Stegostoma tigrinum: one gene and its partners. The protein of the gene in region 2 purifies or fractionates together with the protein of the main gene of each other region. This does not show direct contact. Links are inferred from orthologs where the notes say so. Each region holds a gene or a part of one and is shown on either strand. Other genes may lie near its edges.

Region 1 (7,636 bases), on a different chromosome or scaffold from region 2:
GAAATTTGAAACAAAAAGAAAAACTGGATACACAGCATCGGTGGAGCAAAACAGGCTCTAATTTTTCAATAATTCATGCTGACAATAGGGAGGGGTGTTGGGTGGGGTCGTAGAATTGCTACACAGCGTGGGGCCCACAAATTCCACAGCTGGCTTCACGCCACTTCCCCTGTCCTGTACACAACTACATAGGTGTCAGCCCTAGCCTGGGGCAGTTCCCCCACCATCAACTCATTGCAGGCCTTCAATGACTAATTATTGGTCACTCAGGGCCTGTACCCACTCAACAGCAATTTTTTGGCTAATAAGAAGAGTTCAGGGACTAATGGCAAGTTGGGGACCCACAGCTTACCCTAATCAGGACTTTGGAGGGGCTGACATATCACTGACACCCTCTCCAAAATGAACACCCACAGCCTCAGCTCCCACTAACCTAGCTATCATGAATCCCACTCTCACCTCTTCCCTTTGTCTAATCTTCCTGGATCCCTAGTGCTTACAGTCACCAACAATTGAATTGCTCTGGGTAGTGCTGCTGCAGTGAAGACATGTGAATCAGTACTTTAGATGATCACAGGTTTATCTCATTGCCTGTCATTTGTCAGTTAGCACAGTGAAACAAGAGCTTGTCTTTTAGTGTGGAGACGCTGTTGTGTTGCAGATATCACACAATTCTGGCTGATCAGGAATCTTTTTTACACTTTTTGCCTGCTAAAGGCGTCAGAAGGATTTACAGGTTGATAGTCAACCATTTTGCCATGTTATGAACCCATCTTTCAAATCCATCAAGTCCTACCATCTGACTTGAACACAAAGCCTGCGAATTACAGGCAAGAAGGCTAACAATTGCACCACAAAATCTCCCTGAGCACAAGTTTATGAAGAGCAAAGTGTGGGATATTAGGAGTGCATCGGAATCATCAAGTCTATAGGTAATGAAAGCATAGAAGAGGATTACAGCTGAGAAGGGGGTTAAGTCAAAAGATATTAGAAATGGATCAAGCTGTCTTTGAGGTGGCACAAATATGATATCAGCTCACTACTGGATCTGACATAACACTAGAATTGCAAAGAGATTGATTTAATATCAAACTGTTGCCATGGAGAGGGATGCAGTTCATAACAAAGGATTTATACTCTTTCTCTAAAAGGATCTAACGGCAGATTATTTGAGGAACCCCAGATTTCGAACAATACTCTAAGTCAACTCAAAAACAAAGTTGCTGGAAAAAGCTCAGCAGGTCTGGCAGCAACTGTGAAGGGAAAAACAGAGTTAACGTTTCGGGACAACAAAGTGCAGAGCTGGATGAACACAGCAGGTCAAGCAGCACCCTTAAACGTTTCGGGTCCGGTGACCCTTCCTCAGAATTCAGATGTCAACTCATCTAACTTCCTCACGAATGGTCAGCCCCATTTCTACTTTCACTCTGCCTTGGAACCCAAGTCGACATTAACTGACACATCAATGCAAATTGCTGTTATCATATCTAATTTTATGCACGGAAGTAAACCGCACAGTTCGGTCAAAGAATAAAAGTAAATACGTTGTTCATTACTTACTTATGACTACAGTTACAAAATACAGTACCTAATATTCAAAAACACGGTCAAGATTTAGGACTTCTAAGTATCTGAGTGTTGTGAAACATGGAAGACAAGCTACATTTTAATTTGACAGTTCCGAAATGTGATTTAGTCTTATATTATGGGCAGCACTGCTTTAACAGCTGGCGTTCAGCCGAGAAAAAATTACTATACAAAGTCTAGAATAAAAGAAAACCGAAGAAGTAGTCTGTTTTATATCATACCAATAAACCTATCAATAAATACATAGTTTCCAAAACAATGGTTATGAGGGCTGGAGGCCTCGGCTTGATTAAACGGGTTACAATAAGGAGTTGTAAACACAAGGTGTGAGGATATATTTACAAACCAGAAACATCAACATTGGTCTTGCAGCACGTGAACTGAGTAACCCAGAAATAAACTTTTAAAAAGGCATACTCTGATAAGTCTTACTGGGCGCCTGCAGCAACACCTCACAAAATCGCCTGAAGGTACTGATTTCTTACCCATCTTTTCTTTTTGCTTTGTAAACATGACCGTAGGTACCACGACCCACTTTGCAACCTTCATATTCAAACAGATCTTCTACTTTCTCTCGCTCTGCTGCTAGTTTCGTCTTAAAATCGTAATCCATGACTGTCACTCCATAAATGCATAAATACTTTCAATGTCTGTTGGAAGGGGGAGGAAGGGAAACGGGCTGGATTATTTAAACTGAGCACCGATCATTTCCTTATTTCGTGTGTATTTTTTTTGTCTCTTCCAACAAGTTCGCCCGGCGACATTTAACCATGGGTTTGTTATGTTGACGTTAGCGGCAGACAATGGCGGACCGCGAGGCATGCCGGCATTTGTAGTCCTTAGAGCTTCGGCAGGGCCTTGACTAGCGCGGCTGCATCCCGGGGTCAAAGACTACAACTCCCGTCGCTCATTGCTGCGGACGGTTTTAACCGTTTTCGGATCCAAAAGTAAAAACAGTTAGTCCGAGCAGAGCAGCAGACGGGTGTGGGGGTGGGAAAGGGTGAAGAAGCACCGGGACACTGAAATCAATAAACAGCGATAAGATATTCAAATACACATCGGAATAAACCTTCAACATCCCTTTTTGTTCGGAAAAACTAAAATGTATCTGTTACATTCCCGCCTTCTTGCGATACGGCACTGCGATAAACGTGACTGACTGCGAAACGAACCAATCGCGTTAGGAATCGGCCCGAAAAAACGAGGGTGAGATGAAATCGTGCGATGGCTTTTATCGAGCGTTAAAGAGGTTTGGGGCAATTTATTTGCAATGTCTTCTCGTTTCCTTCCCCCCGCCCCTTCCAAACGTGCAACTTTTATAGTTGAATTGGAACGTCGATCTGCGCGCGGCTCCACTAACGGTTTTGCCCGGGCGCAAGGTCTCGCGCCGAACGTTCGACTGGTGATGGTGACGGTAGTGGAGGGAACGGGCAGGGGCAGCTCCAGCCAGGCCGTTGACGTCACAGCAGTTCTATTGTGCCGTCGGTAGAGAGGGCGGTGCAGCAGACAGTTTGGAGAAGTCAAGTGATTGGGTTGGAGCGGATGGGGGTGGTGAGCAAAGGAGGGAGGCGGAGGTTATAAAAGCCGGCGCCGGCGGACGTCTCGCTGCTAGTCACAGTATGGCCGGCGACATTAGCTAGCGCTCGCTGGATGCAATTCTCTGTGTAGAGGGATCGCATTGGGGGCAACTACGAAACATTATATATATATATGTATAAAAAAAACAAACAAAAAAATCTTTTTCTTGAAAAAATAGGGAAGCAAAGCAGAAACCGGACCGCTCAAGAACCCACTAAAACAGAGCAATTGACACTAACTTATTAAGCTTTTTACCAGAGAGAGGGGGAAAAAGGGGGGGGAGGTTTTTTAAAAGAGAAAATAGAATTTGTAGAAGGGAAAAGAGGGAGGAGGAGGGGGCGAATTTTTCTTTCCCCTCTCGTTTGTTTCACGATGGAAAACGGTGCACACTTTTTCGAAGGGACCGAGAAGCTGTTGGAGGTGTGGTTCTCTCGGCAGCAGGATCTGTGCACGGGATCGGGAGACCTCCGGACCATTCCAAGGTAAAATACATATATCATTAAAACAATAATATCAGCTAACAGCAAAATGGTGGGGGGAGAAACGCACCAACTCAGACCGGGGACACTTAAACGCGCTCTCTATGTTCTATGTTCTCTCTGGCCTTGGGTTGTGTGGGTGTGTTGGCGGCCAGGGGGGGTTGGGGAAGCACCGTGTTTAAGGAGATACGCCACAAATCTCAATCAATCTCTCTCTCTCTCTCTCTCTCCACCCCCCCCCCCCCCCAAAAAAAACCAGGGAAAGGAATCAGTGTTAAGGCAGGGAATCCTGGATTGTTCCCTCCTTCAAAATTAAACGATTATTTTATCAATTCCTTATTCAAAAGCCTGTATTGGAGTGGGGGCAGGATTTAAGAGGCCAGGTTAATGTGTGTATATGGGGTGGGTCTGTTGGGGATGTATGAGGGGCTGGGGTGTGTGAAGGTGTGGAGAGTGGTGAGGGTGTTGCAATATCTGTATTTATTGACTGGTTGTGGGGTGTAGGTGTGTTGGTGAGTAGGTGGATGTGTGTGTGGGAACCCTTAGGTTGAACGGGATGCGGGATCTCTCCCCGCCCCCCGATTCCTGCCTGATTTATTTCGAACGGCGGGCGCTGGGCGTGGCCCCATCTCACTCTTCGCCCTCTTTGCTGCCCCGCTGCTGCCATTTTCTGCCAAGCTGCACTTTGTGTGTGTATGTGTTGGGGGATGGTTTGAGTGCGTGTGTTTTCAGTTAGAAGTCTGGCCAACCTAGTAACAGGTGGCCAGCCGCAGTTTCTGACGGAATTTGGGGGTGCTGGATTGGCTGCTCTCACGCTTGTTCCTGAATTTGAGTCGTGGTCTCATTTGTTCAGGGCCGTACCTTCTCTCTCTCTCTAACTCTCCCCCCTCTGGCGGTCAGGGAAAACGTGCCCATTCCTTTCAAAGGGGTCTGTCCTTTTTAAATGTGCACCGTGATTTCCGGGGAGGGGGGTACAGTCAGGCTGAATGCACTCCACGTGTACTCAATAAATTACTTAATTCACAAATGATTTAATAAATAAATTATTCATAAATTATTTAATAAATCCTCTGGTGAGAGGAACATGGGCAAGTCGGTGAATTTGTTCCTCCATGTTTTGTGTTGGATGAAAGGAGGTTTTCTTGGATCATTTTTCTTGGTGGGCATGGGGTCGAAATCTGTCAACACGCTCTCCAAAATGATTGAAGACTTTTTTGTATATCTTGCACTGAGCGGAGTTGTCCGTCCTTCTCGCTTTCTAAAAAAAACTAGGTGGAAGTTAGGTGTGACTGAGTTTGAGGAAACGCTACCTTTATATGAGCAGCATTCCAAACTGGGAACGTTGGTGACCAAGGTATTAAACATTACTGCTCAACAACTTCATCTCTCAAACCTTGCTCGGTGAATGTATGGGGAAAGGGGTCTGTATTTTTTGGCGGGCACATCACGTGTTTGGGTTATCTAACACACAGCCTTTCCCCATCCCCCTGTTGCAGAAACTACATGTTTGCGCCTTTTCCAGTCGGTGGGTAGCAACCGACCCTCCCAGAGTTAAATATGCTGCTGATCGCAAGGACAGCAGGAGGAGCGAAATTACAGACGCCTAGTTTTTTCCCCCCCCATGCGGCGCCTGTTGTGGTTGCCTCATAGTTCAGCATGACTAGTGTAAATTCAAACTGGATTCTCTACACTGAACAGGAATTGTCCGATCGACGTCCGCGAGTTGGCCACTTTTAAAATACTTAATTCAGTTTTCTCCCAGTACTTTGGCAAGTTCTTTCCCCAGGTTGGGGAATACCTGCCCCCTTGTACTCGCCTTTTTTTAAATTTATGTACAATACATGGGTGCCATTGTACAAAGGCCGGTCGCCTACTCCCATCAATCGATACCGCAGTGCTGAGCTCTTGCTGTCTCATTTTACAGCCACAAATAGCGCCCTCTCTGAGCACCGGGAAAAGTCTCCTTTTCTTTGAGATTCCCTCCCTCTAATGTGTTGTCACCAGTTCTGCGTTTCCTGCTATTTTCGTATCGTCAGCAGATAGGATTGATGGCGGGTCTAGATGAATGCCTGAAGTCGAATTACTGGTAGATATTAAAACGTACGCAGTGTTAATGACAAATCTCCGTTCTCAACAAATGTGTGAAGACGTGGATCAGCCAAACGTCGTTTGATTTCAAGTGTAAGTTGGACTTTTGAGAAGTTTACCTTCATGGCTTACTGAAAGCCTGTTTATATTAAATCATACTTACTGCGTTCACGCTGCATATGGGAGGTGTTAACAGGCCGTGGTTGAAAGAAAGAACTCGTCATTTAAGACTTTCCACAACCTCAACTTTATTTCATAACCTCTAGACTAGAGACTTGAAATAGAGAAGCAATACAAGGCTCTGCAAACAATAAAATGTTTCTGTAATGTAGTTTGAGGGAAGGTTGTTGAAAAACCTGTATTTAAATTCACCCAACACTTCCCCAAAGCAGGGGACGGAGATGTACACTGACAACTCCAGTCTTGATTTCATTGATGCTAATCTGACATCCAATATTGAATTAGCAGAAATGTTAAATATTGAAAAGACCAAAGGCATTACTTTCAGAGATAACAAGGTGTAGAGCTGGATAAACACAGGCGAAGCAGCAATTTAGGAGCAGGAAAGCTGACATTTTGTGTCTAGACCCTTCATCAGAAATGGAGGAGGGTTCTGAAATAAATAGGGAGGGAGGGGGAGGCGGATTGAAGATGGAGAGGAGACAGACAAGTTAAACAGGCAGGGATGGAGCCAGTAAAGCTGAGTGTAGGTGAGGAGATAGGTCAGTCCAGGGAGGACGGATAGGTCAAGGGGGCAGGATGAGGTTAGTAAGTAGGAAAGGGGGGTGTGGCTTGAGGTGGGAGGAGGGAATAGGTGAGAGGAAGAACAGGTTAGGGAGGCGGGGATGCAATGAGCTGGAAATCCTGCAATTCATCCCTCACACCCCGTCCGCGCAATAACAACCAAAAAAGAATCCCCCCTCATCCTCACGTACCATCCCACCAACCTCTGGATCCAACGCGTCATCCTCCAACACTTACGCCATCTGCAATCCAACCGCACCACCAAAGACATTTTCCCCTCCCCACCCTTGTCTGCTTTCCGGAGGGACCATTGCCTCCGTGACTCCCTTGTCTGCTCCACACTCCCCTCCAGCCCCACCACACCTGGCACTTTTCCCTGCAACAGCAGGAAGTGCTACTCTTGCCTCCACACCACCTCCCTCACCCCCATCAGAGGCCCCAAGAAGATTTTCCACATCAAGCAGATGTTCACCTGCACATCTGCCAATGTAGTATACATCTTACTCTTCCTCTTCCTGGCAGCAGTTTGAGACTCTGCACCTGCTGTACCTGTTGTGGCCTCCTGTATATCGGGGGAAACCAAGCAGAGGCTTGAGGACTGCTTTGCAGCACACCTACGTTTGATTCGCGTTAAACAACTGCACCTCCCAGTTGCGAACCATTTCATCTCCCCCTCCCATTCCTCAGATGACATGTCCATCCTGAGCCTCCTGCAGTGCCACAACGATGCCACCCGAAGGTTGCAGGAACAGCAACTCATATTCCACTTGGGCACCCTGCAGCCCAATGGTATCAATGTGGATTTCGCCAGCTTCAAAATCTCTCTCTTTCCCCCCCCCCCCCCCCCCCCTGCATCCCCCCCTCCCTAATCTGTTGCCTCTCACCTATCCCCCCTCCTAGCTCAAGCCGCACCCCCATTTCCTGCCCACTTGACCAGTCAGTACTCCCTAGACTGACCTGTCTCCTCCCTTCCTCTCCACCTACGCTCAGCTTTACTGGCTCCATCCCTGCCTCTTTAACTTGTCTGTCTCCTCTCCATCTATCTTTTCCTCTATCCATCTTCGATCCGCCTTCCCCTCTCTCCCTATTTATTTCAGAACCCTCTCCCCTTCCCCCATTTCTGATGAAGGGTCTAGACACAAAATGTCAGCTTTCCTGCT
Region 2 (7,758 bases):
TGGCCAGTCCACCTAGCCTGCACGTCATTGAACTGTGGGAGGAAACCAGAACACCCTGGGAAACCCATTCAGACAAAGGGAGAATACGCAAACTCCACACAGACAGTTGCCCAAGGGTGGAATCAAACCCGGGTCCCTGGTGCTGTGAGGCAGCAGTGCTAACCACTGAGTCACCGTTCTTTGGACCTCACTGACAACTTGTATTGCAATGCTCCTGACAGGCCATTGGAGACAGACCCATCTCTTGCATGGGAGCAAGCTGCATCTCGAGGCTTTTTGCTCGTTCCCCTTAGCATTTTGGGACTGTCTGGATCCTCACAGCACGTCTGTCCTGCGTTGCCTTCCTGCATATTGCCATATCATTCAGAAAGGGTAACCCTTTAATATTTCTGTCTTGCCTGTCTTTCATCAGGGACACAAAGCTAGGCAGCTTGTCATGGTTGTCAGAAGTGATCAGTCAAGGGGGTGGACATAAAACTGTCTTGCATCATGCTATATCAATGTCATACTTACAGCCTGTAGGCAGCTTGTGTGATTAAAGCACTAAGTGTGCCTTAACTGAATGCCATGTTTCAAAGTTTAAAGACAGTAGTCCTCATTCAAGTCAAAGGTAACTGTTGAACCATGACAAGCTGCCTAGCTTTGTGTCCCTGATGAAAGACAGGCAAGACAGAAATATTAAAGGGTTACCCTTTCTGAATGATACGGCAATATGCAGGAAGGCAACGCAGGACAGACGTGCTGTGAGGATCCAGACAGTCCCAAAATGCTAAGGGGAACGAGCAAAAAGCCTCGAGATGCAGCTTGCTCCCATGCAAGAGATGGGTCTGTCTCTAATGGCCTGTCAGGAGCATTGCAATACAAGTTGTCAGTGAGGTCCAAAGAACGGTGACTCAGTGGTTAGTACTGCTGCCTCACAGCACTAGGTGTAGAGCTGGATGAACACAGCAGGCCAAGCAGCATCAGAGGAGCAGGAAGGCTGATGTTTCAGGCCTAGATCCTTTTTCAGAAATGGGGGAAGGAAAGGATGTTCTGAAATAAATAGGGAGACGGTGGGGGGGGGGTGCAGATAGAAGATAGATAGAGGAGAAAATAGTTGGAGAGGAGACAGACAGGTCAAAGAGGCAGGGATGGAGCCAGTAAAGGTGAGTGTAGGTGGGGAGGTAGGGAGGAGATAGGTCAGTCCAGGAGGGACAGACAGGTCAAGGGTAATAGGTACTGCAGATGCTGGGGAATCCGAGATAACAAGGTGCAGAGCTGGATGAACACAGCAGGCCAAGCAGCATCAGAGGAGCAGGAAGGCTGACGTTTCTGGCCTAGACCCTTCATCAGAAAAAGGTGGCGGGTTGAGGTTAATCGGTAAGTGATGGGGGTGGGGCTTGAGGTGGGAAGAGAGGATACGTGGGAGGAAGGAACAGGTTAGGGAGGCTGGGATGAGCTAGGCTGGTTTTGGGATGTGGTGGGGGAAGAGGGATTTTGAAGCTTGTGAAGTCCACATTGATACAATTGAGCTGCAGGGTTCCCAAGCGGAATATGAGTTGCTGTTCCTGCAACCTTCGGGTGGCGTCGTTGTAACTCATATTCTGCTTGGGAATCCTGCAGCCCAACGGTATCTGATCGTTGCATTCTCTGACTGATCTCCCAGCTTCCTCTCTACGTACGGTGGCTCAATGGTTAGCACTACAGCCTCACAGCACCAGTGACCTGGGTTCGATTCCAGGCTCAGGTAACTGTCTGTGCAGAGTTTGCATATTCTCTCCGTGGGTTTCCTCCGGGTGCTCTGGTTTCCTCTCACAGTCTAAAATGTGCAGGCTAGGTGGATCGGCCATGCTAAATTGCCCATAGTATTCAGGGGTGTGTGGGTTATAGGGGGATGAGGATGGGTCTGGGTGAAATGCTCCAAGGGGTGGTGTGGACTTGTTGGGTCGAAGGCCCTGTTTCCACACTGCAGGGAATCTAATCTAATAACATTGTGCTTACCCAAAAACTCTGATGTCCACATCATAGCTCCCTTCCTTATTTTCGAATTGCTCCTTAGCTTTCTACATTTCATTCAATAGCCTGCTGTATTTCTAGTGTCTTATTTTATTCTCTAATCAACACATTCAGAGATGTATCAGAGGAGCAGGACGGCTGCGTTTTGAGTCTCGAGATTTATGAAGAATGGTCTAAGCCAGAAACACCAGCCTTCCTGCTCCTCCAATGCTGCTTGGCCTGCTGTGTTCATCCAGCTCTACACCTTGTTATCTCAGATTCTCCAGCATCTGCAGTTCCTACTATCTCTGTTCAGAGATGTTATTGGATATCTTTGGGGCTTGTGGGAATGCTGGAGACTACAACAAGTCAGGTAGCGTCCATGGAGAGAAAGCAAGCTAACGTTTAAGAGTCTAGATGAGCTTATCAGAACTGAAGTCAGGTGTGGGGGGGGAGCAGCACTTCTGCAACAGTTGGGGAGGGGTTCGAGTGCTGGGGGAGAAAGGCTGTTGATAGTTTAGATTAAGTGATAGGAATATCAGAATGGCAGAAGAATGGTGCATCTAACTGCCAGACTGGAAATACCTAGGTCTCCTAGTCTAAAGTTACCACTGCACCACGAAAACCCAATTCGAGCGACTTGCAGATAAACGACTCATTCCGCTTCCTTGACCTGTCCGTCCTCCCGGGACTGACCTATCGCCTCCCCATCTTCTCCTCTATCCATCTTCGGTCCGCCTCCCCCTCGCTCCCTATTTATTTCAGAATCCTCTCCCCATCCCCCTTTTCTGATGAAGGGTCTAGGCCCGAAACGTCAGCTTTTGTGCTCCGGGGATGCTGCTTGGCCTGCTGTGTTCATCCAGCTCCACACTTTGTTATCTCGGATTCTCCAGCATCTGCAGATCCCATTATCACTGATTACCTTTACCTTCACCTACCTGAGGGCAACGTTCCCTTCGAACGCCCACTGGGCATACGGGGCAGGAGTCCTTTACCCTAAGGGCGGGACGGGGCGTGCCGCCCACTGGGTGGTCCCTCCTCCCTGGGGCGGGGCTCATAGGTCCCTCCTCCCCCACACACACACGACACATGGGGGCGGGGCAGCGTTCCCTGGGATCTTCTTGCTGAACGCGGTCGGATATTTATGTTTGTGAGCTGCGTCATGCGGATGATTCCGAGGTCCAGCTGGAAGTGAAGCGGGGTGGGTTTTAGTCCGGAGTGCGCCGAGCCGAGAGTTGTGTTTTTGTTGGGTTTGCGCTGCCATCTCGTACTGCCACCATGGTGAAAGTGTCCTTTAACTCTTCGCTGAGCCAGAAGGAGCCTAAAAAAGAGGAGAACAACGAGGCGCTCGTCATCCACGAGAAGGTACGTTTACCGGGGGCGGGGGCTGTTTGGGGAAAGGAGGGGGATGAACTGTCCGTGGTTTTTCAGTTTATTGCCGGACCTTGGACAAAGTCTGGACAGTGTTTTTGGAACCAGGGACTGGGCTTTCGATTTCCAGTTTGTGACCCGGAATGCGGCCTTTGGTGGCCTGATCTCTTTGCCCTTCCGTGCATCAGCTGTCCCTGGATATTGAGCCCGGGTCATAGTCCCTGTCCTCGGATGTGGGAAGGAGTCGACTTCGACCGTTCGCTGTAAAATGGCTGACGGTGTGGCTGGGGCCCATCCTCTTCGTCCTGACTGTCTGTCTCTTTCCCTCCCCCCCCCCCCCCCGCGGAGGAGGCATCGGCGTCGTTGGGAAAAGTCCACGCACGCTTGGCGATCGCCCAATACCCTGCATATGGGCCAACCCCACTTCTGCTTTTGGATTTGGGGAAATCCGATCAGGGACTGGTGAATGTTCCCTCACTAGGTGGGGTGGTACAGGGAAAAAAAGTCACTTTTTAAAAAAATCCTATTGGTGCACGCTCTTACAACTTTCAGATTCAATATCAGGGTGTCTGCACAAATCTTCTGTCACATTGTTGAAGTACGTCGGGTTCGGGGAAAACAACGGGAGAGATTATCAATTGTTACAATTTCTGATGAACTGGATTTTTTTTTTAAAAAAGTCAACTTTTGAAATGGTTTAGCATAGAGAAGACCATGCATTAGATCTTTTAGGTGGCAGAAAATTCGAACTTGACAAAAAAAAGCGAAAGTTCTGTTAACTAACTAGTAAGTACTTGCACTTCGAACCAAAATTCCCCACTCGACTTTTCCGCCTGTTCTGGTTGCACTTTCAACTTTCGTAGCTACATGACGGGACCCGAAGTTCTGTTCTAATTTGGAACCAAGCTACTTTGGACTCTTGCTCGCAAAAGATTCTGCTTAGTTTGCTAGCTTGGCATTCAGATTTCCTAATCTCCTGTTTCTGCAAGGACTCTGCCAGTTTCATTACCAACTTGGTAGATCTGGCAATTTTAATTTTTCAAAATGCAGGAGGCACATAAAGACACTTTGCCTATAGAGGCAATGTTAGGACAAAAGAACCTTGCTAAACTCTATGGACCCATTTCCATAACCTGGGCAATGGTAGTGCACATGGCCTGTTCCCAAACACCTGTAAACTGTTATTTGAGGAAGAAGTGAATACTTGATGTCTTATTGTCTTGATGTCTACAAACATTTTAATTGCAAGAATAATTTAAACTGCTCCTCCTACGCCCTGACTGTTTTTGTTTTTACTGGCTTTCAATTTAATATGAAATATTCTTGCAAAGTGCTTATGGCCTGTCTTCTCAAGATATTTAGAGAAGCCATTGTAATCCAAGGCATGAATGCCTTGCCACCAATCCAGCAACACAGTAGAACTCTTTCTTCACCCTCTTCTCCCTGCTGACCAAATCCAGGAATTCACGCCTATCTAATAACTTGGTTTTAATAGACTGCCTTTTCAAAATTTAAACCACGTCTTAAAAATGTAGTTTTCAAAACTAAAATGGTCTTGTCTGTATTTGGAACACAGTAGTGATTAAAGGTTTGTCAAATGATTTTTTATTTTGAATAAAACAAATTTTATAAAATGGTTTTCTTTTGATTTGAGGAAAGGTGGAAGCTTTGTGGCAGGAACCAAGAATGTGAGATCTAGGTGTCCTTCTAGCTGATGTGGTCGAAGAGGTTTGCTGTATAGATTGGAGTGGTTCCCTTAGCATACAACTTGAGACCCTACATTAGACTACTATGGAACACCAGTTGATGATGAGTTCTGAAAGCTTGGTACAGAAGGCTTTAAGAAAAATATTAAAGGACAGTGGAGGTAAGGAGAGTTTGGAAGACAGAATGCTTAGGACCTTGGTATAGCCACAAAATGGAAGAAATTAAATTTGGGGATTCTCATAAATTCACTTTTTAAATATCTTGGAGCTTTGTGGGGCGACAGCACATTACTGTAATGTGGAGAATTTGGTAGAGGTGGTTAAAGTTTAAAATAGGCATAATAAGTTTAAAGTTGAAGGACCAGAGACAATGGCATCAACAAGGATAGGTGGTTGGTGGTACTCTAAAATACTCGCACTCACTGACCTGCACCATGTTGGTGACACATCTAGTCCCTTTAGCTGATGTACATTATGCTGTGTTTTGTTTGTCCAATAACTTGAAGCATGCTATCGACAATTAGCCAAAAACATCTCTGACACTGATGTGATCTCAGGCTCATTGGTAATGCCATGGCAGTTTGTCGTGTTATAATTGTTAGGCTTCATTTCCAACTCCTGTCATGCTAATGAATGATATTAGGGTAGTGCTTCTGCTGAATGCTATTAATTGGGCATGAAACACAACTTAATCAGCAACTCCTGTGTGCATATGTGAATTCCAGCTGTAAACTTTTGGTTTACATAAACAACCTCAAGACTGATGTGTAGCCAGGCTGTGCTGCAGAGATTTCTGATTCTGAACCTGAGATAACAGTTGCACGTATTGTACAATTTTAGTTTCCATGTTCTGGAAGGATATTGGAGTATACAGCCCAGACTGCCTAGAATGCTTTTTGATGTGAGGAATTGAAAAAACTTGAAAATTGAGAACATTTTCAATTGAGCAGAATGTTTAAGGTGGATTTCATAAACTATCCATTGACAACGTTTGGAACTATTACCTCTCTTGACCCTTCTGCCTGTTCTCCCTGAATTCAGACTGCTGTATGGTATTTGACATCCAGCATTGGATGAACAGAAAATTCCTAAGAATTTGAAAATCTGAAGCCATAATCTTATCTCCACCTCAAACTCTGCTCCCTGGCTGCAAAATCCATCACTTTCTCTCTTTCAGCACTAACCCTCAGCCAGAGTATAAACAACCTTTGTCATATTTGACTCTGGGGTTAGCTTTCAGTCACATGATCTAATGTTGCCCAATGTCACTTCCCTGATCCTAAGATGCTGCTTCACCTGCTGTGTTCATGCAGCTCCACACCTTGTTATCTCTATCTCTAATGTTGCCTATCTCTAGTTCACCTTCAGTTATTTCTGAGACTTCCAGATCTGACTGTTCTAGCGTTTGTAAATTTCTATTCACCCTCCTCAGTTTTACCTGTGTGAACTTGAGATGCACTGCTTATCATAATACCCACCAAATGTCCTTGCCATCAAACTGCACTAACTCAGTTGACTCACAATTAATGCATCTTCTAAAATTCTCCCTTTTCTTGCTTTCAAACTATGCTGAGACCTTGCCCTGTCCTGTGTCTACTTAATTCCAGCCCTGAGATCTGAAAGATCTTCACTCTTTATTCTTAACCTCTTGAGCATTTCCCATTTGCAGTTGATGGCAGTACCCTTAATTGCTGAGGCCCCAAGCTTTCGAATATCGTCCCTACGTATCTTCATGTTTCTATCTTGCTTTTCATCTTTTAAGATAGTTGTAGAATTGTTAAACCCATGCCCTCTTTTGTACTGTCCTACCAAAGCAAAATGACCTTGGCTACAGGTGTCACAGTGGCTCACTGGTTAGCACTGCTGCCTCATGGTGCCAGGGACATGGATTTGATTCCACCCCCTGACTGTGTGGAGTTTGCACATTCTCCATGTCTGTGTAGGTTTCCTCCCACAGTCCAACGATGTGTAGGTTGGGTGGATTAGCCATGGAAAATGCATGGCTATAAGGATAGGGTAGGGGGTTGATTCTGAATGATACACTCTTCAAAGGGTTGGTGTGAGTTTGATGGGCTGATGACCTGCTTCCACACTGTTGAGATTCTTTGATTTTTCTTTTGAAAAGAGAGATTTTCACCCTCTGTGCCCTCATGATTTCAAAAACCCTTATAAGGTCACCCCTCAGCCTCTGACCTTCCAGGGGGGAAAAACCCCAGCCCTTTCAGCCTCTCCCTGTAGCTCAATCTTTGTCGTCCTATCAACATCCTTGTAAATCTTCTCTGAACCCTTTCACATTTAACAATATCTTTCCTATAGTGCTTCAAAAACTACTTTGACCAAATTTTTAATCCATCTGTTTATATTTCCGTTATGTGACATGGTTCATTCAGTTTCATTATGCATCTTGGATGTTTCAAGGCATCATATACATGTTATCATTACAACTGAATGATGCAAGTTGATTTTTTTTAAAATTAGTACATTGGCTTTCCAGTCGAAGTTTAAACCAAGGAAACCGGCCTGTAAAATTAAATGATGCTTATTTCTGTCTTTGCAAAATTGGCAAGCTCATTCCAGGCAAATTTGCCTGACTGGAACCAAAATCCTGCTGAATCTTTTTCCAACTTACAGGTTCTATATTGGTTTTCCATTCCTCAAACCTGTTTTCCAGCCTACTTAGCCTGCTCCTTACTTATTCCATGATCGT
Region 3 (7,225 bases), on a different chromosome or scaffold from region 2:
AGATCAGGTCACTACACGGTCTTTTCTTTTTCAAAAGAGCCCCTGGCTGTTCAGATCTTCTCGATGGTTATTAGCTGTTCAGTTCTTGTTGTCACTTTCTTCTGTTAATCTTGCAATTATGGAAACCAGGATCATGTACTGTATTACACAGGGTGTACACAACAAACTAATTTGACACAAAAAGTTGCTGGAAAAGCTCAGCAGGTCTGGCAGCATCTGGGGAGGAGAAAACAGAGTCAACGTTTCGGGTCTGGTGACCCTTCCTCAGAAGGGAAGTAATTTGACAGTTGATTTACAAGTTTGTGCGTTTATGTTCCACACTACTCATCTCATGCGATCAACTACTTTCCATTGCTTAAAAACAAAGAACTGCGGATGCTGGAAATCAGAAACAAAAACAAATTTCTGGCAAAACTCAATAGGGTCTGACAGCATCTGAATGATCATTTTGGGCCTAGTGACCCTGCCTCAGAACTGACAGTAACTGGAATAAAGTTGGTACATGGACTAAAGAACAGGTGGGGAAGTAAACGACAAGTGGAAATGGAGCCCAGAATGACAGCAAGAGCGAAAATAGGTGGTCAGACAGAGGAATGGGTAAAGGTCAGCCATTCCTTTCTCTTTCATGGTCCCACTTATCTGTTATTCACCTTCACCTCAATGTGGGAACATGTCTCATATTGTTACTGTAGCATACCCAATACAATAAATTGAGTGTTTGAGTTTGTTAACCAACTTCTTGCAAAACAATCCAGTTCCTCCCACCCCTTACTCTTGGCCTATATTCCTGAACTTTTAACCTCATGTATTTTTCCCCAAATGTCTTCTGAATCTGATGCATATCCACCACCTTATCAGGAAAGCGGTTTGAAATTCTTGCCTACTGCAAAAATTCCTGCCCCATTACATCCAACTCATTTGCCAGTAACCTTTAATTAGTTTCCTCTAGTATTGCTCATTGGAAATAGTTTCTCTTCATTTCCTGATTCCTCCTTGATCTTAAACATCTCCAGCAAATCTCCCTTCTACCGTCCCTTCTTTATGCAGCACCAGCAACCCATCATTCTTGGAACTACTCTGAAATCTTAGCTGTATACAAAGCCCTTCACAGGCCTTCCTAAAATGTGGTGTATGGAATGAAACCTACTATTCCTGCAAGGAATGGGAGGATAAACTTCTTTTATATATTGTGTGTGTAATGATTGTAAGATTACTAGTTTTCAAGATGGTAGCAGAGAGACATCTACAATTTAAATGAAAGTAGGCAGAATTGAAAGAAACAAACTGAGCTAAAGGGTTATTGCAGGAAGAACAGGACGGACAGGTTCACATCATGCATCAACTTGAGCTAAAATGCCCTCGCCCGTACTACCAAAAAAAAATCAAACTAATGGGGTCTAGCATTGGTTTAGCATCTTCTAGCTTTCACTTTTTTTCCTAGAACCCAGAGACATTGATGTTTAATTCAAGCAAAATCCAGAACGTAACTTCCACTTTCATTTCTTGCTCAGTTGATCCTACGTTAACATCTTGCTTTTGCTGTAGTTCTGCTTCCAGCACAAGAACTAACACTCGTGTTTCACTGACTTGTCTATGGAAAGCCATGCCCTGTTACCTTCAGGAACTGGCAAAAGAAGTCTCCTTTTTAAATGAAGTGTACAACTTTCATGAATGTTGTTAAAAGATAGCACTGGTGCTGGAGTAATTCAACTACAAAGAGGGATGAGATAAGCTGGGGTTTTCCTTAAAGAGGAAAAGGCAGAGGACACGCAGTGGGGGAACATGATTGAGGTGTACGAAGTTACAAGGGTTGTGGAAACTGCAAAGAGGGAGAAACTTTGTAAAAAGGGTCTACAACAAAAATATACAGTTTTAAGGCTAGAAGCAGGATGACTACATTGAACTTGAGGAAAAGTCATAAAATAGATGAGTCATTGGACTTGGGCAGGGGGAAGCCACTCTCCACAGATGCTGGAAGGCATGGCAAATTTCTCCAGTACATTATGTTTTTGTCTATTCTTAGAAATAGATACATGCTTGATGATGATGTCAATAGCGTGGAGCTGGACATCTGTAGGTCAGGCAGTAGAGGAGCAGGAAAGTCGAGGTTTTGGGTCAGGACCTTTCATCTGAACCGTTTCAAGTTGCACAATTTCAGGGAAACTGCCAGGGTTGTGGGGGTTGGAGCTACAGGAAGAAGCTGAAGAGACTGGGGCTATTTCCTCTGTAGAAGCTTATAAGATAATGAGGGGCATGGATAGGGTCAATAGTCAAGGCCTTCCCCCGCCCCAGGATAGGAAAGTTTAAAACTAGAGGGCATAGGTAACCTAAAAAGGCGAGAGGGAGAAGATTTAAAAAGGACATGAGTGGGAAACATAGAAGGTGAAGCACGAATGGAACGAGCTGCCAGAGGAAGTGGTGGAAGCCGGTACAATTACAACATTTAAAAGGCAACTGGATGGGTACATAAATAGGTAGGTGGGCCAAATGGGACCAGATTAATTTAGGATCTCTGTTCGGCACAGATAAATTGGACCAAAGTTCCTGTTTCCATGGTTTACGTTGGGCTACTAGGACTACGACCGGCATCAACGCGACGGGCTGAAGGGCCTCATTTAGAATCTGTTGTTTGCGGTGAGCTCAGGCCGCGGATATCCCTCAGGCTCGATCCCTCACCTTCGCCGCCTCGGTGCCCACTTGCTCGGACTCGTACATGAGGGCCACGCTACGGCCGCTGCTCTGGACGGCCCTGTCGGCGCTCCTCAGCACCTGCTGCCTCAGGGACCACTGCCTGTCATCATCGGCGGCGGGCCCAGCCGCCCCGTCTTCCCAGTCCGCCGCCGGCCGACCCTCCTGCTCCTCGTCATCCTCTTCGGCGAACGGGTTGTAGCGATTGGGATAAGCCGACATCGCCTTCCCTCGATCGGTCTCGTCGGTACCGAGTTCGTCGCCTTCTCCGGGCTCTCCCCGCCACCGCGCCTCGTCACCTGACAACCCCCGGACTCACCACACGTGACCCCACCCGGGTGATGCACGCCAAGGGCGCGGCCATCTTTGAGACTGGCTGCCAGCATCGTTACGTGACCCCCAGCCCCATGCTTTCCCACCCGAAAGAGTCTTGGCTGACTTCTCTGAAATTCAGTAGAAACACAGACTGCTAGAAAGGCTCCACACGTGCGGAGAGGGAACGATATAAAAGTTTACGTTTCAGGTTGATCTGAATTTTCAGTAGGTTTTCATTTCGCCCTCCCTGTAGGTTTATCGAACAAAATCAGAGTATGTGGGATTGGGCGCACAGGTAAGTGTTGAGAATTGGTTAACAGACAGAAAACTTGAGTAGGAATCTGCAGGTCATTTTCAGGATGGCTACAGCCTCTTACCAATGGGGTACCTCAAGGGTTAGTGTTGTGGCCACAGCTGTTCATGAAATATATAAATAACTTGGTCTTGGGGAAACAAATGTAATATTTCAAAACCTATTGTTGACACAAAACTAGTTAAGTTGTGACAAAGTTGCACAAAGGCTCAGGTGAACCTGAATTGACTAAATAAATGGGCAAGGACACGATGAGCAGACATCTGGATTGACTGATTGACTGATTTATTGTCACATACCAGAGTACAGTGAAATGCTTTGTTTATGAGTAGTACAGGTAGATCATAGTAAGCTAGGTTGTGCTGATCAGAGGTTGTAAAAAGTCTTAGATAGAGGCATACAGGTTATGTTGCACAGGGCATGTGCAAGGCAAGATCAATATTAGCAAGATCAGCATTATTTGAGGCTGAAGGGTCCATTCATCAGTCTAATAACAGTTGTGAAGAAGCTGTTCCTGAACCCACTGGTGCATTTATTCAGGTTTCTGTATCTTCTGCCTAACACAAGAGTTTTAGATGTTGGCAGCCTTTCTGCGGTAGCGGGCCATGTACATAGAGTCCATGGATGGAAGGTTGGCTTCTGTGATGATCTGGGCTGTTGCCATACCAGGCCATTGTGCACCTGGACAGTGTGTTTTCAATGGTGCGTCTGTAGAAGTTGATGAGGGACCTTATGGAAATGCCAAATTTCTTCAGCCATCTGAGGAAGATGAGGTGTTGCTGTGTCTTGACCATCGCATCTATGTAGAAAGTCAAGGACAGGTTGTCAGTTATCGTCAGTCCGGGGAACTTGATGCTCTCCACCCTCTCAACCTAAGTTCCGTTGATGTAAATGGAGACATGTTCTCCTCCTTTCTTTATGAAGTCGATGATCAGTTCTTTGGTTTTGCTGACATCGAGAGGACCCATTCCCGTTGCCACTCCTTAGTCGCACCGCAGTCCCCAGCAACAACTCCAACCTGCCCGGTACTTTCCCCTGTATCTGTAAAAGTTGCAACACCTGCACACACGCCCCCTGCCCCACTCCCTCATCTGCATCCAGGCCTTCCAGGTGAGACAGAGCTTCACCTGCATCTCCTCAAAACTAGTCTACTGCATCAGGTGCTCCCGATGTGGTCTTCTCTGTGTTGGTGAGACCAAATGTAGACTAGGTGACTGTTTAGCTGAGCATCTTTGCCTGGCCTGTAAAGGCCAAGCTAACCACCTGGTGATCATCCATTTCAACTTCCCTGCCCCCTCCCCCTCCAACATGTCTGTCCTTGGCCCCCCTCCAGTGTCTCAATGACTCAGAGCGCAAATTTGAAGAACAACACCTTATCTTCCACCTGGGCACCTGACAGCCTGGAGGACTCAACGTTGAGTTCTCTAATTTCAAATAACTGTACTCCATCCCCAGGCTACCCTTCCAGCCCCTCCTCCTCCCTTCCATTCCACCTTTTGACCCTCCCTTTCAGCCACTGACCAGATTCGTCCCTCCCATCAACCAACCAGGTCATACCAACTACATCATCAGATGCCATTTCCACCACCCCCAGCGAGATGCCACCACCAGATACATATTCGCCTCCCCTCCCTTGTCCACCTTCTGCAGGGACCGTTACCTCCGGGACTCCCTGGTCCACACTTCCTTCACCTCCAATACCCCTCCACAGACCCACCACCTTCCCCTGTAACTGACAAAGGTGTAATATCTGCGCATTTACCTCATCCCTCCACAGTATCCAAGGGCCCAAACACACCTTCCAGGTGAAGCAACACTTCACCTGCACTTCCCAGCATTCAGTCTACTGCATTCACTCACACAATGTGGTCTCCTCTACACTGGGGAAACAAAACAGAGACTTGGTGACTGCTTCGCAGAACATCTACGTACTGCTTGCAAAAAAGACCCTGAACTACCTGTTGCCTGCCACTTTAATCCACCACCCTGTTCTCTGGCCAACATCTCTGTTTCTGGCTTGCTGCAGTGTTGCAACGCAAGCTGGAGGAGCAACACCTCGTTTTCTGCTTGGGGACCCTGCAGCCTTCCGGAATTAATATCAAGTTCAGTAATTTTAGGGCCTAAACTCTCCCATGTCCTAGCCCCCCACCCCACACACCAGGCTTTGTTAACACATAAGCTTGCCATTACACTCGGTGTTGTTAGTCACTGATGGTCCCCAGTAAGAACTATTCGCCCTCCCAGCCTGATTGTAATCAACACTTTGTCTGTCCAACTGTCTTTCTCTTTAGGCTCTATCCTATTGTTTACTCCCTAGCCCATACTCCTCCTTTTGCATATAAACTGATGTTTTCCCAGCCACCATCAGTTCTGAGGAAGGGTCACCGGATCTGAAATGTTAACTCTGTTTTTCCTTTCACAGATGCTGCCAGATCTGCTGAGCTTTTCCAGCAACTTGGTTTTTGTTCCTGATTTACAGCATCTGCAGTTCTTTTGGTTTTTGTTTGTAACTACTACCAATGTCCACCTGCCACTACCATTCCGACTCCACCTCTCTCCCCACTTCATCCGCAGCTCTCCCTTCCACCACATCCAGTCCCAAAGAACGGTAATACTTGAAATGTTGACTGCTGCTTTCCTCCAGATGCTGCCTGGCTTGCTGTGTTCTTCTAACTTCCAAACGTCAGCTTTCCTGCTCCTCTGATGCCGCCTGGCCTGCTGTGTTCATCCAGCTCCACACGTTGTTAACTCCTGTTTGTCTACTAGTCTTCACTGATTGTGGTCTTTGGGTCAGAAAGCTGAGGGTCCAGTTGCAGAGGGCGGAGCTGAGACCAAGGGCACACAGTTTTGAGATCAGTCTGGGAGGCGATAATGGTGTTGAAGGCAGAGCTGTAGTCAATGTGCAGGAGTTTGATGTACATGTCTTTGTTGTCCACATATTCCAGGGATGAGTGCAGGGCTGGGGATATGGTATCTGTTGTGAATCTGTTATGTTGGTAGGCAAACTGTAGGAGATTGAGGCAGGTTGGGAGCCTGGACTTGATGTGGGCCATGACCCACCTCGTGAAGCATCCTATGATTAATGAGTTCAGAGCCACTGGGCAGTAGTCATTAAGGCACACTGCATGTGCTTTCTTAGCTATAAAAATGATGGTGGTCTTCTTGAAACAGGTGGGGACTTCATCGTGTAGGAGGGAGAGGTTGAAGATGTTGGTGAATACCTCTGCCAGTTGGATAGGTACATGAAGAGGAAGGGTTTTGAGGAATATGGGCCTAATGCTGGCAAGTGAGACTAGATTCATTTAGGATAACTGGTTGGCACGGACGAGTTGGACCAAAGGGTCTGTTTCTGTGCTGTACATCTCTATGAACCTGTAAATGTAGAGTGATTCACTTTGTGGTAGAAACAAAACACTGTATTTCCTAATTGGTGAGAGGTTGGGAAATATTGATGTCCAAATGGAACTGAGTGTCCTTTTGAAATTGTAAAGATTTAAGGTGCAGGCCAGCAAGCAATTGGAAAGGCAAATTATACTTCGGCCTTCATTGCAAGAGGATTTGGTACAGGTTTTAAACATGACTTTCTCAAGGGCAACTAGGGATGGGCAATAAATGCTGGCCAGCCAGCAAGTAAATATAAAAAAAAAGCTGTTGGAGACTTGGTGAGACTGCAGCTGGAATGATGTGGATAGATTTTGTTTCCTTATCAAATAAGGAATATACTTGCTATGGACAAAAGAAATGAAGGTTCACTATACTAGTTCCTTCAAGAATGGGATTGTCTTACATTGAAACATTGAAGAAAATGGGTAAATGTTATTCCAGAGTTTAGAAGAATGAGAGGGGCTCTCATTAAGAGTTAACAAGGACATGATACATGAATTTAGACAGGATGTGTCCTTTGACTGT
Region 4 (6,841 bases), on a different chromosome or scaffold from region 2:
GCATCTGGGTGTCCTGGTACACAAGTCACAAAATGCCAGTATTCAAATACAGCAAATTTTGAAGAAGGCAAACGAAATGTTGTTCTTTATTGCAAGGGAATATAGAAGTAGGGAAGCTATACCGCAAGCTGTATGGGGCCTTGGTCAGATCTAAAGCATTCTGTACAGTTTAAACTCCTCATTTGAGAAAATTATTGCTAGATCATTAGATCCGAAGCAATTCAGAAAAGGTTCAACTGACTAATTCCTGGGATGAAAGTTTAACTTATGGAGAAAAGTCAAACACATTGGCCCTACCCCTGAAACTTGAAAAGATGAGTGGTGATCTATTTGAAGCTATAAAGGTCCTGAGGGGTCTTGATAAGGTGGATAAAGGAGGATGTTTCTAATTGCCGAACAGACTCCCTTCAGGAGACACAGCTTAAAAACAGGAAGCCTGCGTTTTAAGATGGATAGGAAGAAAAAAGTTTTTTATCAGACAATCGATAGTTTGTAATGTGCCCTTCCTTAGAAAACAGTGGACGTTGGGTCATCAAACTTAATCAAGACTGATTAATTTTTGATAGTCAAGGTTGTCACTCAGATCACCCATGATTTTTTTGAATGGTGGATCAGATTCAAGTAGCATTACAACTGTGGCCACATTTGAAACATGTATCACTGGCCGCAATGTCCTGGTGTGAACGTGAAAGTTGTGAACAGAATGATTAAAATCATTTGATTTTACTTGAGCAGTGAGAAGCAAACATTTTCCTCCCAGTTCCTTCTCATTCACCCAAATGATTTGAATCCTAGTAGGCACTGATGCTCAGTCCATCCTATACAGCTCATAAATTAAATGAAATCCAAGCTCTGTCATTAGATACAGAACCAACTCAAGATGTCAGAAATCTCAAAACATTTTGTTTGACAGACAAGCAAAATCTATTAATTAAAAATACTTTGAGACTGTGGGACTTAGTGGTCATGTAGTGTTACCTGGCAGAACATAGATCCAAACACTATGGATTAGTTTAAACAGGAATGGGAGGACCATCAGCATCTTAATTCAATTATGACTAATCTGGATCTCATTCCATCTACCCACCTTTAACCCATTTTTCTCAATATTCTTACCCAACAAAAATCAAATTGACAGAAAGAAAAAGAAAGGTTATATTTTAAATTAATGATCTTTCATCACAGCATATGCTGCCAGACCACTGTGTACTTGAATTGGTTTCTGTTTCTATTTCAGATGTTCGGCACCTGCAGCATTTTACTCCTGAAAATATAATCTACGTCAGTCTTGAAATTTACAACTGACCTCCAAGCATGACATCTTTTTGGAGAAAAAGTTCCAGCTTTTGTGTGAAATGCTTCCAGACATCATGCCTGAACAATTTAGCTCTAATCTTAGGGTTACGCCCCCTTGTTCTGAACTTCCCCAGAGGAAACAGTTTATCTCATTCTGCTCATATTGAGGCATGCTGAGGGTGTGAAAGGCTTATATAATTTAGATTAGTATATTTGCAGTTCTTTGATCACCTTAAGTATATCTATATTACCTCACTCTCATAATTATAATCATAAAACACTACAAACTTAATCTTTCATATTCAATGGAACACAAGCCAAAGTTGTAAACTCCAGGACCAGAAGATACAATACTTTAGACATCTCCCTCTCCATCCTCTACCCTGTACGTAAGGGACAGTGTTCACGAAGAGCAGCTAGAGAACCAAGAGATAATCAGTACAATGTTATAAGCCCCAGGAGAGAAGAGAGCCCTAAGAAAGTAGTGTCCCTTTTGGTGTTTGGGAGCTTTATAGAGTCTGTGGGTGAAGGGTAATAGGGGATTCACTTTGTTGCCAGATGTTTGTGCGTGCGTTTTGGGGTGGGAGTTTGCTGATATGGCATACAGTTCCTGATCTTCAGGTGGCTCAAGTGCAGTTCTCAGGGTGACGGATATGGACAGGATTAGGAGTACAGAACCTCAAGTTTAGCAATAGTGAGCTATGTCTGGACATGTGGGGTACAGGCACCTCGTATCGGCTGTACTTGGGTTAAGGGGATGGTGTTAAGGAGTGTGGGAGGGCAGTCAGATCTCCTTCAGCATGTTAACACCACAGAGCCTCTGGCACCCCATCTATGAGAATGTGGGATCTAGACATCCTGAATGGGGTAAGGAGAGTTGGGGAGCAAGACAGCCCAGAGCTGGAAAAGGACAGCGAATGATGCTGGAAGATCCCACTCTTGAGTGGGAATGGGGAGTGGAGTGGGAGAGGCCAGATCCCCACAGATGAGGGAGTAAAATAGATCCCCAGATCCCCTGGGGCGGTGCGGACAGAAAGGGACAAGACCTGTTGGGATCTGGGTGGCATTGGGGTAGAGGTATACACCGATGACACAGGTAGACGTCGGGATTGTTTTTGGGCGGGGGAGGGAGGTCAGCACCGCCAGGTTTACTCACCCTGTCGATAGATCCAGGCACCAGGCGCTCCAGGAGGCGACACAAGACCACCCCGTCCCTCAGGGAGCTCTGTAGGAAAGCCTCGGGGTCCGACACTGTTTTCTTGGGGGAATCCAGGACCCCGAGTGTAATCAGCCAAGTGACCGTCTGCTCAGCGGAGCTCATCGCTACCGATCCCCATTCACCGGGAGTGCAGGGATCCGAGCCTTGGGCCCCGGGACAACAGTCCCCTTTTCCTTCCCGGGCCCCGGGACAATCCCCGCCGCCGCCTTTTCCCAGTCCCCGCGGTTCACTGCTTCCCGAGGTCCCAGCTCCGAAGCGGCGAGCCCGGCATCACTCGGTACTGATAGAGCCGGTGTGTCTCGGAAGGGACGGCTATCGCCTGGGATCTCTCTGATCCCGTAACCTCCCTCCTTGCCCCCGGGGCGGCTCTCTTTGTTTCTCCGGGACGATCGCGGCTCCGAACCTGCCGCCCACTGCCGCCGCTCAGACTGAGCCCGAAGCCGGGTCCTGCCGCCCTCTAGTGCCGCCCGAGACCCAGCAATAGAGGAGGGCCCGGAGACCCCGACACCCGACAATTACACCCCCCCCAACTCGACAAATACCCCCCCAACCCGTCAATTACCCCCCCCCACTCGACAAATACCCCCAACCCGACAATTACCCTCCACCCCGACACCCAACAATTACCCCAACCCTCGACAATTTCTCTCCAACCCAACACCAAACAATTACCCCCACCCCGCCACCCGACAATTACTTCCTACCCCAATAACTTGCCTCCCCAAATCGACAACTACCGTCCCCACCCTGACAGTTACCCCCAACCCAATCCAACATCCATCCCCGACCAGATAACTAGTCCCTTCCTCACCCCAACAATTAACCCACCCAGACATCTACCCCTGGAAACTTACCCCGGGGTAGTTAACGGTAGTTAACATCAACTACCTCACTCGAAATAACTTCCAGTATCTCACTCCATACCCCCAAAACCCCGGCATCTCACACCCCCTCCACATCTCCCACACTCGCAACATCTAACTCCCCCACCCACATCTCATCTCACACTGTCCCCTCTGTATGGACGTTCAACCCAACCATCCCCCCCCCCCCCGCATACTTCCTTTACCTTCTCAGACCCTCCGTACCACCCATTGTCTACATATTTCCCTTTACCATCGAGGCTGTCAATGCTGGGCTGTTCACTATATGCAAAGCTGAGATAAACAGATTTTTAGTTAGTCAATATAACAAGGATTATGGGGAAAGCCAGGAAAGTGATATTCAAGACTGTCAGATTAGCCATTCAACATCCTGAGTTACTGTTGACCTGAAGCTTAACTGTACAAACCATACAAATGTCAACATGAACAGGCTATAGGCTAAGAATTCCCTGGAGACCAGACTCAATGGGCTCGACCACATAATCCAATGCTTTGTGGACGCCTCTCCACTCTCTCTTTCCTACCCACTAAGACATTTTCCTTGTTAGTCATCTCCCCAAAATAGAAATCCTCATCATCTCTGTCCTCACCGCTCTCAAACTCCTCCTGGTCATCCTCACCCTTAACCCTCCAAACCCCGAAACAATTCTCCCGTCCAAAACCCCAGTCCTCTTTCTCTTCTCTCCCCCAACCCCCCAGAAATGTTTATGAGTTAGACCAGAGACCAGTGCTAGTTCTTTTCCTGATCTAATTAGGAAACATTGTGTGGTGGTGAGTTTAAAGTTAACAATGTAAAGGGTAGAAAGAAAAACTCAATAAACCTGATACTTTTAGCTTGGCACCAAACCTCTAGATTGTTGTAAATACTCAACTGGCTGAATGCCATGGAGTTCCTCCTTGGCCAGTTATGAACAAGGAATGAATGCAAACTTGCCACAAAGGAATAAAGTTCTAGATGACTATGTAGAGTGAGAATCAGGAACTGTGTGAGATGACTTTCGCCTTCCCAATGTCTGGTTGGAGTAGGCTAGAGAACAATTGTATTGCACATGTTATCGTTAAAGGAATTTTATTTTCTAAAAAAAATCTCATGGGATGTGAACATTTCTTGCTAGGACAACATTTCTTGCACCAACTCGAGAAGTTGATGCTGAGCTACCTTCTTGAGCTGCTGAAGCCCATGGTGGTGGGTACACCTACTGTGTTGTCAGCCATTGAGTTCCAGGACTTTGACTCAATGGCACTGAAGAAACAGTGATTTAGTTCCAAGTCAAGTTGGTGTGTGCCTTGGAGTGAATTTCCAGGCAATCTTGCTCTCATGCATCCACTACCGTTATTCCATGTTTTGCAGGTTTAGAAGCTGATGTGAAAGGAGACTTAGTGCATCTTGTAGATGGTACATACTGCTGGTATGGTGCATTTGTGGTGAAAGGAATGATGGGATGCCAAGCAGGCAGCTGCCTTGTCAAACTTCTTGATTGTTTTTGGAGTTGCACTTATCCAGTCAAGTGGAGAGCAGTCCATTAGACTTGTCCCATGTAAGCAGGCTCTTGGAAGTCAGGAGGTGAGTTACTCACCAGGGAATTCTTAGTCTATGACCTCCTCATGTTGGCACTATTTGTATGGCTTGTACAGTTAAGCTTCAGGTCAGTAGTAACTCTGAGGGTGTTGATTTTGCAGGACTCAGCAATGGTAATACCATTGAACATCGAGGATTAATGGTCAGATACTTTCTTGTTAGAGACAGCCATAGTTTGGGACTTGTGTAGTGTAAATGTTTATCAACCCAAGCCTGAAGTGTTGGACATGTCTTTCCACATACTTACGTGGGCTGCTTCAACAAATTGTGAATGTTGCTGAACATTGTGCAATCATCGGCAAACATCCCCACCTCTGACCTTTTGATGGAGGGAAGCAGCTGATGCCTTTTGATTTAATTTTAATGGGGCTTTTTTAAAATTTTCAAGTGTCCCTTTCACAGTGTCATGTACACCTTCATTAGGTGATGCAGTGAGTAGTAACAACAATAATAATTGGTAACAGTATCTTCTATCTTCATGTTGATATGCTGAGGATTTAGATTCGCACACAGGCAGAACTCAAATTTTCATGATTATCCCCGATTAAATTTATCCCCCATTAAATTTAAAATTTTAAGACTCTTAAGGAAAATATTACTTTCTTGGACATCTTGGTATTTAAATTGGCCCTAGACATAAATTGGCAACAAGTATTTTTAAAATATAAAACTGACCCACTTCTATCCAGAAAAAAAAGCCATCAAACGAAACATGCTTTCTGCAGATGGTGGCATGGTGGCTCAGTGGTTGGCAATGCTGCCTCACAGCACTAGGATTATGGGTTCAATGCCAGCCTTGGGTGACTATGTTGAATTTGCATGGGTTTCCTCCCTGGATATGCAGATTATGTGGATTGGTCATGGTAAATACAGCGATGGGCTGGGGCTGGGTGGGATGCTCTTTATGAGGTTGATGTGGACTTGATGTGCCAAATGACCTCCTCCTGCACTCTCGGATTCTATGGTGAGGTCACAAGAAAACCATTATATGTTTGTCTCCAACATGGCCTCAAGTATTTCCCAGTAAGTGAAACACTTTGAGGTATGATAACACATAAATGTCAGTCTTTATGAAATTAAACAGTACAGTATTAAACAATTGACACAATATTTATTTCACTTTCCCCCCCACCCCACCCAATGCAGCAGCCTTAAAGTTTCCACAATATTGCAGGAAATTTATGATTTGATAAATGTCAAGTAACATTTCCATCATACAAGCCCCAGGCTATAGCTTTCTCTAACAAGACAGAATCTGACCATTCATCCTTAACGTTCAATGGTATTACCAACATTGAATCTTCCAAAATCAACAATCCTGAGGATTACCATTGTTCAGAAAATAGTGTTTACATGAGCAGGTCAGACATAAGGAATTCCCCAAACAGTAAATTGTTTTATTCTCATGTTCCCATTTAGGACAGTATATCTTTCTTGAAATGTTTAAAAGTGTTTCTTCCCTTTGCAGCATTTCTCTCCCATTTTGTACTTTTTCCAACCTTTGGAGGGTCTTTCCCCCATCACACATACACACACACACCCACCTCTCTCAAAACTTTACAGCCTCATTTCCTCCAGGCTTTTGGCTTGGCTGCACAGGTCCTGGTATCACACCCACTACTGAGAGGCCTCTCTCACAGTCTTGCTGGCTTTGCTCACTGACATCACTCCCCGCCTGGCCAGCATAGTTTCTATTCTGTCCACTAGCTCTGCCACTGACCTCATTCCTCCAAATGCAGGCTGATACCCTCCCACATTTGCTGTTGATGGACTCACTGTGAACTTAGCAGCAGTAAGCTTGGGAGAGAGCAGCCTGTGATTGAAGGAACAGTTCCCAACTATTTCCTTCCATTCTGTTTACAG

The links.
Region 1: the proteins of med4 (region 2) and cdk19 purify together in Homo sapiens (affinity purification with mass spectrometry; 7 studies listed by BioGRID and IntAct, counting the BioPlex papers as one, with this or other methods). This does not show direct contact. The link is inferred for Stegostoma tigrinum from reciprocal best matches to the Homo sapiens genes MED4 and CDK19.
Region 3: the proteins of med4 (region 2) and snap29 purify together in Homo sapiens (affinity purification with mass spectrometry; 3 studies listed by BioGRID and IntAct, with this or other methods). This does not show direct contact. The link is inferred for Stegostoma tigrinum from reciprocal best matches to the Homo sapiens genes MED4 and SNAP29.
Region 4: the proteins of med4 (region 2) and rho guanine nucleotide exchange factor 7-like purify together in Homo sapiens (affinity purification with mass spectrometry; 3 studies listed by BioGRID and IntAct, with this or other methods). This does not show direct contact. The link is inferred for Stegostoma tigrinum from reciprocal best matches to the Homo sapiens genes MED4 and ARHGEF7.

Annotation. Positions count from the first base shown.
Region 1 is NC_081357.1:24,441,904-24,449,539, reverse strand, and holds the start of cdk19 (cyclin-dependent kinase 19), read right to left. Parts: upstream 3,021-7,636; 5' UTR 2,201-3,020; coding exon 2,073-2,200; intron 1-2,072. Other genes in the region: amd1 (S-adenosylmethionine decarboxylase proenzyme), read left to right, coding at 3,538-3,647.
Region 2 is NC_081365.1:72,826,501-72,834,258, reverse strand, and holds the start of med4 (mediator of RNA polymerase II transcription subunit 4), read right to left. Parts: upstream 3,019-7,758; 5' UTR 2,913-3,018; intron 1-2,912. Other genes in the region: integral membrane protein 2B-like, read left to right, coding at 3,253-3,339. UniProt on the Homo sapiens protein: Component of the Mediator complex, a coactivator involved in the regulated transcription of nearly all RNA polymerase II-dependent genes.
Region 3 is NC_081379.1:7,573,520-7,580,744, forward strand, and holds the start of snap29 (synaptosomal-associated protein 29), read right to left. Parts: upstream 3,008-7,225; 5' UTR 2,911-3,007; coding exon 2,677-2,910; intron 1-2,676. UniProt on the Homo sapiens protein: SNAREs, soluble N-ethylmaleimide-sensitive factor-attachment protein receptors, are essential proteins for fusion of cellular membranes.
Region 4 is NC_081359.1:13,986,413-13,993,253, forward strand, and holds the start of rho guanine nucleotide exchange factor 7-like, read right to left. Parts: upstream 3,014-6,841; 5' UTR 2,618-3,013; coding exon 2,453-2,617; intron 1-2,452. UniProt on the Homo sapiens protein: Acts as a RAC1 guanine nucleotide exchange factor (GEF) and can induce membrane ruffling. Functions in cell migration, attachment and cell spreading. Promotes targeting of RAC1 to focal adhesions. May function as a positive regulator of apoptosis.